Linked DNA regions of Drosophila melanogaster. The protein of the gene in region 2 interacts with the protein of the main gene of each other region in a pairwise test. Each region holds a gene or a part of one and is shown on either strand. Other genes may lie near its edges. The genes, in order: Mettl14, CG8079 and Prp3.

Region 1 (3,753 bases), on a different chromosome or scaffold from region 2:
AAAGAGAAGCCAACTTAAATATGTGATAAATTGCTTGCAGGATAGTAATGACTGACCTATAGGGATAACCCTGCGCCTTCGAACGAAAAACGGACAACAGGAAGGAGAAGAACACGGTGAGGAGCACCAAACCAGTCATCGCCATTATCCTGTTCTTGTTGTGAGCCTTTGGTGTTCCCGATTCAATCAGCAGAATCATGCCCAGCACAATCATGGCATCTGTAATCAAAGTTATTAGTTAAATAGTCCAAAAATGGTCAACAGAACTAGAGTGAAGACTAAAGACTCAGGACTTACTCAGGAACATGACGATATAGGTCTCCACCACCAGCTGGCCCTGCGAGGAGCCATGGATGTAGGCCACGCCACCATTTTGCGACTTGTGGACCAGCGGTGGTCCACGGATATGATTCCACATTTGACCCGAGATCATGGCGAAGCAGAAGAATACTGCGATGGCACCCCACAGATTCTTGTTGTACAAGAACTCCAAGTTATTTCGCCGAATGTAAAGAAAACTTCCCACCAGGGCCACCAATGTGATCATGGCCACGGTGCCAGAATAGTTTGGTGGACGGAAAATGCGAATGGTGATGTCCGTTCGCTCGGCAACGAATTTCGCAATAGAATCGGCGGCGAAGCCGACGCGATGGATATCCATGGTGTCAGCTCCCTTTGGCTTGCCCTTGGCCGGGAAATGCATGAACACCGGGGCGGTGTTCAGGCGCAGAAGTTGGAAAACCTCGGAGCCGTCATCGAAATCCACCATAGCAAAGAAGAGTTTGTTGGAGTAAGTCGAGGAGAAGCGGTAGGAGTTGGCCACGATGGCGAACTCGTCGTGGGCGTGCCTACAGATCTGGCATTGTCTCGATGGAGCCAATGCGGTGAGCATTACGATCATCGAGTAATTCCGTGGTGCACTCTTCACATACTCCCGAAACTTGGGTCCATTGAAGCGGAGCAGCGGCTTTTTGGCGTTCATGTCCACCAGGTTTTGTACTTTTTCCGACAGCGAGAGTCCCGTCTGAAAGGCATAAGATACCCATTAATAACATGCTGCATATTCCTCTAGCCGGCTTTCTGGGATGTGGAGCTAGAATGTCCACCGAAAAGTGACGTGGCCACAAACAAACCTTCGATTTTGATTGCGCGGCTGCGTAAATAGCGAATAACGCCACTACCAGCAGACCGCTGAGCAGCGTCTTGTGCAGCAGTCTCATTCTGCAGGCGATTTAATTAACAATCTCACTACTTTAACGCAAAATCACAGAAAAAACGTTTAATCAAAAATATTTTTTCCGGCGCATGCAGCTGATTGTGAATGGCAAGCGAAAACTATGCACGTTTACTGTGAATGGCAACATTGGTTGGTTTTACCTCAAGGAAGAAATAAATATTTATATCGATATAAAAAAGTAAACGAAGTTAGATTTTTAAAATTTGACTTTTTATAAGTCAGTAAAACAATATGCAAATCGTTTTAGTTGAATTCTTTAAAATGTATTTTCATATAAATAAGTTATCCCCTTAATTAGTTTAATAAGTATTATATTGTTGCGTGGGTCTAGTGTTATCGATACCGCAATAATCAGAATGCCGCCACTAGACGGCAAATTTTGTTGTCTTTAATTTTTAGTTTTCTTAAAATTGCGATTTAAAATATAGTACAGTACGTTTTTACTGCATATATTAGTATGAGCGATGTGCTAAAGAGCTCCCAGGAGCGATCCCGCAAGCGTCGTTTGCTTTTAGCGCAAACTGTAAGTATTCACACTGTGGAAAAAGCAGTCGGCGTCGAGTTTAACTCATAATTTATGTATTTCCTAACTCAGTTGGGCTTGTCGAGCGTCGACGATCTGAAAAAGGCTTTGGGTAATGCCGAAGACATTAACAGTAGTCGCCAGCTGAATTCCGGTGGGCAACGCGAGGAGGAGGATGGTGGCGCCTCTTCCTCCAAGAAAACCCCCAATGAAATCATCTATAGGGACTCCTCGACCTTCCTGAAGGGAACCCAGTCTTCCAATCCGCACAATGACTACTGCCAGCACTTTGTGGACACCGGTCAGCGTCCCCAGAACTTCATCCGTGATGTCGGCCTAGCTGACCGCTTCGAGGAGTATCCCAAGTTGAGGGAACTGATCAAACTGAAGGACAAACTCATCCAAGACACCGCATCCGCACCTATGTACTTAAAGGCGGATCTGAAATCGCTAGATGTCAAGACGCTGGGCGCCAAGTTTGATGTTATTTTGATTGAGCCGCCGCTAGAGGAATATGCCAGGGCAGCACCTTCTGTAGCCACTGTAGGTGGGGCACCGCGGGTTTTCTGGAACTGGGATGATATACTTAGTAAGTTCCCAGTCAAGCATCCATTAATGTAACCTAATAACTTTGAATTCTGCTAGATTTGGATGTGGGCGAGATAGCTGCTCATCGTTCGTTTGTATTCCTTTGGTGCGGATCCTCGGAGGGCTTGGACATGGGCCGCAACTGCCTGAAGAAGTGGGGATTCCGGAGGTGCGAAGACATATGTTGGATACGGACCAACATTAACAAGCCCGGGCACTCCAAGCAACTTGAACCGAAAGCGGTCTTTCAACGCACCAAGGAACACTGCCTGATGGGAATCAAAGGAACTGTTCGCCGCTCCACTGATGGCGATTTTATCCATGCCAACGTGGACATTGATTTAATCATCTCAGAGGAAGAGGAGTTTGGCAGCTTCGAGAAGCCCATCGAGATCTTTCACATCATCGAACATTTCTGCTTGGGTCGACGGCGTTTGCATCTGTTCGGCAGAGATTCGAGTATTCGACCAGGTTGGCTAACTGTTGGTCCGGAACTGACGAACTCGAACTTCAACTCCGAGCTATACCAGACCTACTTTGCTGAGGCTCCAGCCACCGGTTGCACTAGTAGGATTGAACTACTGAGGCCCAAGAGTCCGCCGCCGAATAGCAAAGTTTTAAGAGGAAGAGGACGCGGCTTTCCACGTGGTCGTGGAAGGCCCAGATAACAGCATTTTTACTCAACAACTGCGTGTATTCTAGTGTCTAAGATCAAAAGTTTTTAAGGCTAAGAATAAGATTAACATTAAAGTCTATTGCTGCAGAATGCTGAGTATCCTATCGATTTCCAGGGTTTTCTTTGGATGCCGAGCGACCAGCAGCTTTCATTTATTATCCGTGACTATTCTGGAGACTGTGATGATTGCTTAGATGCCTCATGTAGATATCCAAGTCATCTTCGCTAGATATAGCATTCTCATCCGCAGCATGCTCCTCCAATTCCTCCTCGTCCTCGCTATCCTCAAAGTAGGCATCTTCTTCATCCTGCTCAATTTGCTTCAGATCATCCAGCAAAGTGTTATCATCTACGGCCTTATAATCAAAATCCTTGTCTTCGCCACTAAGAAAGCGTTCCTTCATCATACTCAAGAACTCATTGCGTAGTAGTTCTCGCTCTCCAGGATTATAGAACTCCGGTGTGGAGATCATAGTTGTATTCATTGGAGCTCGGACTTCCGCATTTCGACTCGTTGAACAGGCCACTGGTTCATCATCTTCAAATCCACCCCACTGCTTTCGGCAAGCGACAGGAACGTCACAGTCTGCCTGAGGATTGGATTCACTTGTGACCTGCACGCTCTGCTTTCCTTCCTGCTGCGTTTCCTCTAGTAATTCATCTCTTTGCTTTTTCTCCAACGTATGCATTAGTATTCCTGAGAAGCTAGTATTCCGAACATCGTAACTA
Region 2 (3,753 bases):
CTCCAGCAGCAGGAGTAGTTCCCGCAGCACGCACAGCAAAAGCAGAACCAGGGATCATCACAAATCGCGGTCTATTTCGCAGAGGAAAACCAGGGGTCCAAGTTCGGAAAGCAATTCCCGATCCGCAACCACACCCGCAGCTGCTCCCGTGAAGGCCATCGATCTGTTCGACACCAAGGTGCAAAAGGCACTCGAGACTATAGACGAGGACACCTTCAAGCCGGAGTCATTTTTTAGCTCCAGGGATTCAAAGGAGACATCCGATAAGGTGATCATAGATCTGAACAATGAAACGGTCACAGTCGCCAGCAAGCCAGCCACTGCAGTCCGAAACGAAGATGTAATATTCCATCCGAACGTGAGTGGGTTACCTGGTGCTCGAATATACATGCTAATAGTATCTGATTTTCAATTCCGACAGTTCCTGGGCGACCCGGATATGAAGGCCGAGAAGTGGCTGCGCAAGCTGTACAATTACCGCCAAAAGTACATGCAGGAGTAGTCGAGTTTAGACTCTGTATTTAAGAAACAATAAACCTATGTCTAGAATATATCGCTGCCCGTCTTTCGAGCGCGTTGCAAGGCCTCCTCCGGAGTCAGTTGCTCATTGACCGAGGGCTCCTTGGCGCTGCCGTCCTTCTGCAGTTTTCCCGCCTTGAAATCTTCGATAATCTTCTGCGAGTAGACGGCGTTGAAGAGATCCAAGCTGGTGAACTCCGACTGGACGACGTCCGGCGCCTTATAGGACACGTATGGCTTTAGCTTACAACCGGTCAAATCGGGAACTATGATGTCCGGAATTTTCTCGGGAATCTCCACATACTGCCCGTCGACAAGTATGCCCGTGTCTCGTACACCTCGCTTGTGAATGGCTACCGGCGGATTGGCCAGTGTTTTCTGGGCTTCCTTTACCACGCGCGTACCGCGCTTGTTGTATGCGTTAAATTTACGGAAGTTCCGCTTGCCCTCCAGCACGGATGAAGTACTGATGGTCCTCTGCTGGCACCTTAGGGCAATGGGCACTACTTTAATACAATTATTCATTCTTATTTCGTTTTTCGGCGACCAAAATGGTTAAATAACAAATGTAGATGAGGGAACAGCTGTTTGGTTGGGTAGAGATGACACTTTTTTCGATAGACAATTAATCCCAGTTGGAAATGTATTGGAAGCCAATTTGCTATTAAACTACTTGTTTTTTTAAAAATACCGAAAAAGTTTTTTTTCTTTTAGGCCGTTGCCATATTTATTTTATCTTGATAAGAACTAAGTTGTTTTTTTTTTCAAAAACTAGGCATATTTTTTTTATGTGTAAAAGCAACCATCTCTTAATAAATCGATTAACTTTGCAGCCACCAGTGCTTAAAACGACTGTTAGTTGAAATGAAACTAGATGTTGGCGGATGTCGATGTTTTTGGCGAATAACATCGACGTTTTAAACATCGATGCTTTAAATAAAAATAATTGCTTTTTATTTTAATGTTGCTTAAATAAAACGTCAGTATTTGGTGTCCACCTTTTCATCCTCCGCTGGTCCAGTAATTGCTCCTATAAGACAAATGCACGTTTACATACATACATGTATATACATTTAGACGTGCATATGACATGCATTCATATGTGCAAGCCTTTTTCGGGTGTTAAAAACTTTCTTCTCAGATATTTTCCATGTCTATCACGACGCCACAATATGGTATTAATAATTGTATTAGAAGATATGGAAAATTAATTTGTACTTACAATTTATACGCTTTTCTCCTCAGATGCGATGTAGAGATGGAAAAACATCGATGATTCCTCGAAAACATCGATGAATGCGATTTTTTGAAAACATTGATGACATCCATGCTAGCATCGATGTTTCTCCATCTCTAGCTGAAACTCCCCAAATCGGCTTGTGATCCCTATAAAAAGTTGATTTAGATTCGACGGTTGTTAAACAATGTCGTTACCGGCTGAAGAGGAGGATTTGGCGGACACTGTCGCCAAGTACGATTCCATCGAATTGAAGAGCATACAGGACCTGGAAACCTGCGAGCAGCAACAACTACTGCAGTACGTCGAAAAGCTGCACGGGATTATCCGCAAATACGACACCAAACTGGCGTCCTATAAACAAAAACTCCTACACTACGTGAGTCCCAATTAAAGGTTGAGCTAAAATGGTCTTAATTTTTGATCTATTTTAAAGGTAAGCCGGGAAGAAAAGGTTTCGTGTGACAAAGCCAGCCAAGCAACTGAATCGGAATTACAAGAATGCCAGTATTCCATGGAAAACGATGAGGATACTAACAAAAAAGACCAGCCCAACGATTGTGAGTTAAAATTTGTTTTATTACACTGAGTCCTTCTATTATTGCTACAATAGTAGTGAGTTCCTACTTTGTTTTACTGGCCACCGCGGCCACCAGCGCAGCTCCACGTCCGGATCCGTCCTCCGAGAGCATGATGTCCCACTCCTTGTCTGCTTTCACCAGCTTTTGGAGTGTTTGCCTCATGTAGGCATCGAACTTTGGATGGTATCGGTAGACGGAGCCATCCATGCCGACTATCACGCGGCGGTTGGAAGTCCTGTTCACCAGCCCACTGACTCCGATGGCTACTAATGTAGCCGCTCGCTTAGCTACGCACTCGCAGATGTATCTCAGAGTCTGGCAGTCCTCCACGGAGGCCTTCTCTAGACCAAACAGATTTTTCACAATCTTCCTTGTGCTGGCAAACTCTGGGAAGGAGTCGTCCTCGATTTCCGAAATGTAGCGCGTCTCGAAAACCTCTTCGTTTCTCTGCAGCACGCTGGCGAATTCTGGACGTCGACTGCTCTGTTTAAAGATCAGCTTGCGCTCGAGGGCACGAAGTAGCACAAGGCGCACCAGGTTGCCCAAGTACATGCCCGCCGTCATCTTTTCGAACAGCTGCTCCGATCGGTTTAGAGACTTTTCGTCAACTTCGCGATCGTATTCGGTGCGCACAAAGTCCAACTGACCACCCTCACCAAAGGCGCCCCACTCAGCATTTACAATCACACTCCGCTTCGTTTTTTTAAAGTCTGCGCGCAATAGGTCCACATTCTCAACATCTTCAACGTAGCAGGCATTGCAGCCAGTTCCCACAATGACACCCACCCGGCAATCTGCATTACGATGGGCGCAGGACATCAAGGTGCCAGTGGTATCGTTGAGTATAGCCACCACGGCAATGTCGGCATCTCCGCGCCGCTGAATGGCCTCGTGCAGCATGCGGCCCACATCCTCGCCCTCAACCCCAGCACAATCGAATCCCTTAGTCCAGCGTACCAGGATGCCCTCCTTAAGGCCTAGTTGCACGCAAGGGAAGGAAAAAGTGAAGCCCAGTGGCAGATATGCGGTCTTCATGTCGTGTTTCTCCACAAATTTGGCCAGGCAGCCCGCAATGTGATCGAATAGGTCCACACCGGGCCCCACCATCAGGTCCTTTGGCACGGCATAGATCTGAGAATCCACCGTGGCGTCGTGGTGACCTTTCAGCGAGACGAGCAGTACTCGGAAGTTGGTACCGCCGAGATCCAGGGCCAGGTACTTGCCCATCTCGTCGCCCGTGGGCAGATCCTGCACGTACGTGGGAAAACACTTGACGTTGGCCTGTGGATGCGTGGACCGCTTAAGTCCACGGGCCACTTCCAGGCAAAAGCGACTGTACACTTCCTGCACCTGGTAATCACTCAACACAAAGGGTTGCATAAGTTCTCGCACCTCCGCGTCCAGCATTTTGCTTGG
Region 3 (3,753 bases), on a different chromosome or scaffold from region 2:
AACTGTAGTGTATCTAGCAATTCTTAAAATGCCTTTTATCTACTGCTGATCCGTGGAGGCCTCAAGCACGGCTCCGGAGTAGGCCAGATCCCAGTAGTGTTCGACCTGGTGCTTCTGAAAAAACTCACGGGCCATTTTTTCCATTGGAAAGATCTTAAACTTGATCTCGCCAAAGTGCCGTCGCTGACTAGTCCCCTCCCAGACGAGTACGCATGAGTTCGGCACGTCCTGGCCGTCATTGCCCTTGGCGTTGTCCTCCTCCCACTTAATGCGCGTTAGCATGAGCCTGCGATACTTTTTCTGCTGCTTGGGCCCACCCTCCACGACAACCACACAGCAATCCCGGAACAACACCACGCTGCCGGTCATCTGCAGCTGCTTGGCATTGGTCTCCACCTTGAATTTCTTGCTCTGGTTGTCCTGCAGATCTCGTATGCGATAGACGCTGACATGTACACCGCAGCTGGTGTCTTCCCTCAGCTTGCGCTGCTTCTTTTCGCTCTTCTGCTCGCTGGTCAGCTTGCGCGCATTGTTGGCATCTTCGTGCGCCTTCTGCCGCTTGGCCATCTGGTCGCGCACATGCTGCTCCATTTTGGTCGGATCTTGTACGGCCTCCGAGCCAAGCACACGCATCAGGTTGGATATGCGCAGTTTCGGCTCTGGTGGGGCCACCAAACCCAGTCGGATCTTCTCCTGCTCCTCCTTCCAGGCCTCGCGACGGTTCTGGCGACGAAGCTTTTTGCGCTCTTTCTTTGTGAGGAAAACCGGCAGATACACTGGTTTCAAGGGCTCATCTGAAGGAGTAGGTGGTTAGTTGCTTGTGGGACATGTTCTAGCTTTCAACTTACTTGGCGGCTTCATTTGTGTGGGATGCTCTATAAGGTTGGTTATGGCTGTTTGGCGTATGCTTATCTTACCGCTTGCGTCGTCTACCGTCTCCAGATCCTGGGTCAGTATAACTGAGTCCCACCACTCCATGGCAGGCACATCGTCCGGCATGTCCTGCTTGGGGGCAATCAATGCCAGTTTGGTGGCCGACGAGATGCCCGTTTTCCGGGCTATTTGCGAAATCTCATTCTGTAGTCGCTCCAGCTGGCTTTTCATGCGCATTCGTTCGGCCAGCTGCTGGAACTTTCCGGGCTCGTGGAATCTCAACGTCCTCTTGGTTCTAACAGTGGGCTTCAGGGCTATGCGGTCGTCAAAGTACTTAATAGCTTCTTCCTGGGCCGAAGTGCCCGATTCACTCCGTTCACCCAAACCCGTTTGGCGTTGGAACACCTCCCGTTTCTTGGCGCGTATGTTGGCTTTCAATGTAGGTGTCACCGTGGGAATATTAATGGTACGTCCGCTCTTGTCCACAGTGCGTCCTTCATCGTCCAGAATCAGGGGTTTGGGTCGCTCCTGCGCTTGAGCAGCAGCTGCAGCGGCGGCCGCTACCGCAGTGGGCTGAATCAAACTAGCCAAATTGCCAGTAAGCTTGGCCCTGATCTGTGCCTGCAACTCGGCAATCTTCCTGGCCTTCTCCGAGTCCTCGGGCGTGGGCTTCTTCGCCAGCGCTTGAGTGGCTAAGGCAACTGGCATTCCGATCGATGGAACTGACGCCAGCAGCGGATCCTTGTCTCTTAGATTACTCAGGGCCCGCTTGCGTTCCTCGATCTCCCGCTGGGCATGGGCCATCATCAGCTTGATCTGCGTGGAACTCAGCGAGGCGGGCACGGCGACCTCTTCTTTCTTCTCACCACCGCCGCCATTCTTTTCCGGGACATCGAAGCGGGATTTCTTGGGCGCTTCAAGGGCGCTTCCACCACCACTTTTGGAATCTGAGGCGGCAGCGCGCTTTTTGGACAATTTCTGGTCGTCGCCATCCTTGCGCGTGATAATGGACGACATAATTCGCAATTAAATGGGTCGGACTAAAAAGTAAATGTTATTTACCAACTGCTTGGCACATTCCTTGAGCTTAAATCAGCGATTTGCAATTCAAAAACAATACACAAGGTTTTTGGTCTTTGGTGAAAAATTCTCCGAAACACGTTAGGACAGGGTCGTTAAAAAAACATAAAAGTCAGGGTTGTCATGTCGCCAGTGTGACCGTTTCGCTTTCTTTTATCGGGGTGCAACCCTAGTTCTCTCACTTTTTGTCGCTCTCCGCTCCGCCATATTTGTTGAAGCCGCTTACAATTGACTATTTTTTTCTCGTCGTGTCTGTGTGTGCTTAATTATTTGTTGTGGAAATTAAGACAATTTCGTGTGCTCAAACAGTGTAAAAGTTGCATTCGAGTGCTACAATGGCATCGGAGGAAGAGAATGACGATAATTTCCAGGGTAAGTGCATTGTTTCAGTCGGCCAAATGTCGGCGTGAAAAAAACTCGGTCCGACCGTCGCTCGGTCAGGCTAAGAACCGTGGTCATGTTCAAGAGCCGCAAAGCCGCGCAGCGTGCTGCGTCCCCCTCCCATTGTTTATTGTTGCCTATTATCCTAATTGGTCATTGTCATTGCTGTACCTCGTTATAAACTATTTGTATTACAGCAATTGGTGAAATTTGTACATGTGTGGCGCGTTTTTTTGGGGTCTTTTGCGCCTCCTCCATTCCACACATATTTTTTATTGCATTTTTGTGTTCCCTCCATTCGCGAATGCAGGCAATATATAGACGTCCTGCTCACTCATCAAAACATATGTTTTACATGGTTGTTTTGGTCGAAAGTTTTGAGTGGAATACTCTGTAAATCCTTTAAAATTAAGTTTTATCTTAAGTTCTTTAGCAATTAAGATGTTTACTTTACCTGTGAATTGTCAAGTGTCAATTGTAATATACGGAAAATTCATTTTAGTTCACACTTATTGTGGTGTTACCGTATATGCAGTGTTATCATCGGCTGTGCAATGGTATCACCAGAAAAATAGTGTGCCCCTTTTGGAGCTAGTCGAGAATGCCCAGACGGCCTCATCTGCCACCATTTACATTCATTGTTGCTTGGACGTGGCAGCCATGACGTGATTTCTGAGTTTTTGTTAAAGAGATTACATTATTAATTGTAGAGAAAACTGTTAATTAAGGGGAATACGTGCATTACTCGCCACCGCCTACCGATTGCCAGTGTAAAGCCACAAATCCAGTGCGTAATATATCCAACTGAAGGAAAAGCGAAAAAAGAATGATGAAAAGTGTGTGCAAAAAATAAAAACCTGAAATTACCACAAAATATGCATATATATATTATAAATTGTGTAAGAAAGCAATGCAAAAAGAAAACGAAGCAATATGTGCATATATCTAAAGAAACGAAACAAAGATGCGTGGAATATTGTGGAAAATCTTGTCGCACTTCCACTGACGCACATACATATGTGATTTTTTCCACTCCCCCTTCGCCGACGTGCTCTCTTGATTGATTTCTCCACTCTCTCGCGTACTTGCGTCTCTGTGTGTGTGCGTGTTATGCACGCGCGCTCCAGCCAAACGTCGCCGTCGCCCCGTCTCTGTCGCTCCAACGTATATGATAAAAAAAAACTCACAGAAACCCGACGCGTTTAAATTAAATTTAGTTAAAAACAACAACAAAAATATAGCTACCAATGCAATCCTACCGAAGTGCCTGCAAAACAACTAAAGTATAGTCTTTTTAACGAGTTAATCAAAATATGCCAACACACAAGTAAGATGAAGAAGGAGAAAAGTAGAGTGTGGAAAAGAGACGATGCCAAGGGATGGGATGGGAAGGTGCCCGTCTCGCGAGGAAATTGCTGG

Evidence for each region.
Region 1: the proteins of CG8079 (region 2) and Mettl14 interact in a two-hybrid assay, tested with the Drosophila melanogaster proteins (one large-scale study listed by BioGRID).
Region 3: the proteins of CG8079 (region 2) and Prp3 interact in a two-hybrid assay, tested with the Drosophila melanogaster proteins (one large-scale study listed by BioGRID).

What each region holds. Positions count from the first base shown.
Region 1 is NT_033779.5:8,306,850-8,310,602, forward strand, and holds Mettl14 (methyltransferase like 14), read left to right. Parts: upstream 1-1,577; 5' UTR 1,578-1,694; coding exon 1,695-1,760; intron 1,761-1,832; coding exon 1,833-2,349; intron 2,350-2,405; coding exon 2,406-3,016; 3' UTR 3,017-3,112; downstream 3,113-3,753. Other genes in the region: Ostgamma (oligosaccharide transferase gamma subunit), read right to left, coding at 57-219, 298-1,024, 1,134-1,220; CG7810 (uncharacterized protein), read right to left, coding at 3,180-3,753. UniProt on the Drosophila melanogaster protein: Non-catalytic component of the WMM complex, a complex that mediates N6-methyladenosine (m6A) methylation of mRNAs, a modification that plays a role in the efficiency of mRNA splicing and is required for sex determination.
Region 2 is NT_033778.4:15,216,521-15,220,273, forward strand, and holds the start of CG8079 (uncharacterized protein), read left to right. Parts: upstream 1-1,860; 5' UTR 1,861-1,943; coding exon 1,944-2,135; intron 2,136-2,192; coding exon 2,193-2,316; exon of another isoform or gene 2,317-2,379; coding exon of another isoform or gene 2,380-3,744; exon of another isoform or gene 3,745-3,753. Other genes in the region: CG11808 (uncharacterized protein), read left to right, coding at 1-358, 422-502; mRpL41 (mitochondrial ribosomal protein L41), read right to left, coding at 544-1,044; Hex-C (hexokinase C), read right to left, coding at 2,380-3,744.
Region 3 is NT_037436.4:19,908,615-19,912,367, reverse strand, and holds the start of Prp3 (precursor RNA processing 3), read right to left. Parts: upstream 2,066-3,753; 5' UTR 1,891-2,065; coding exon 849-1,890; intron 795-848; coding exon 40-794; 3' UTR 1-39. Other genes in the region: Mi-2, read left to right, coding at 2,289-2,325.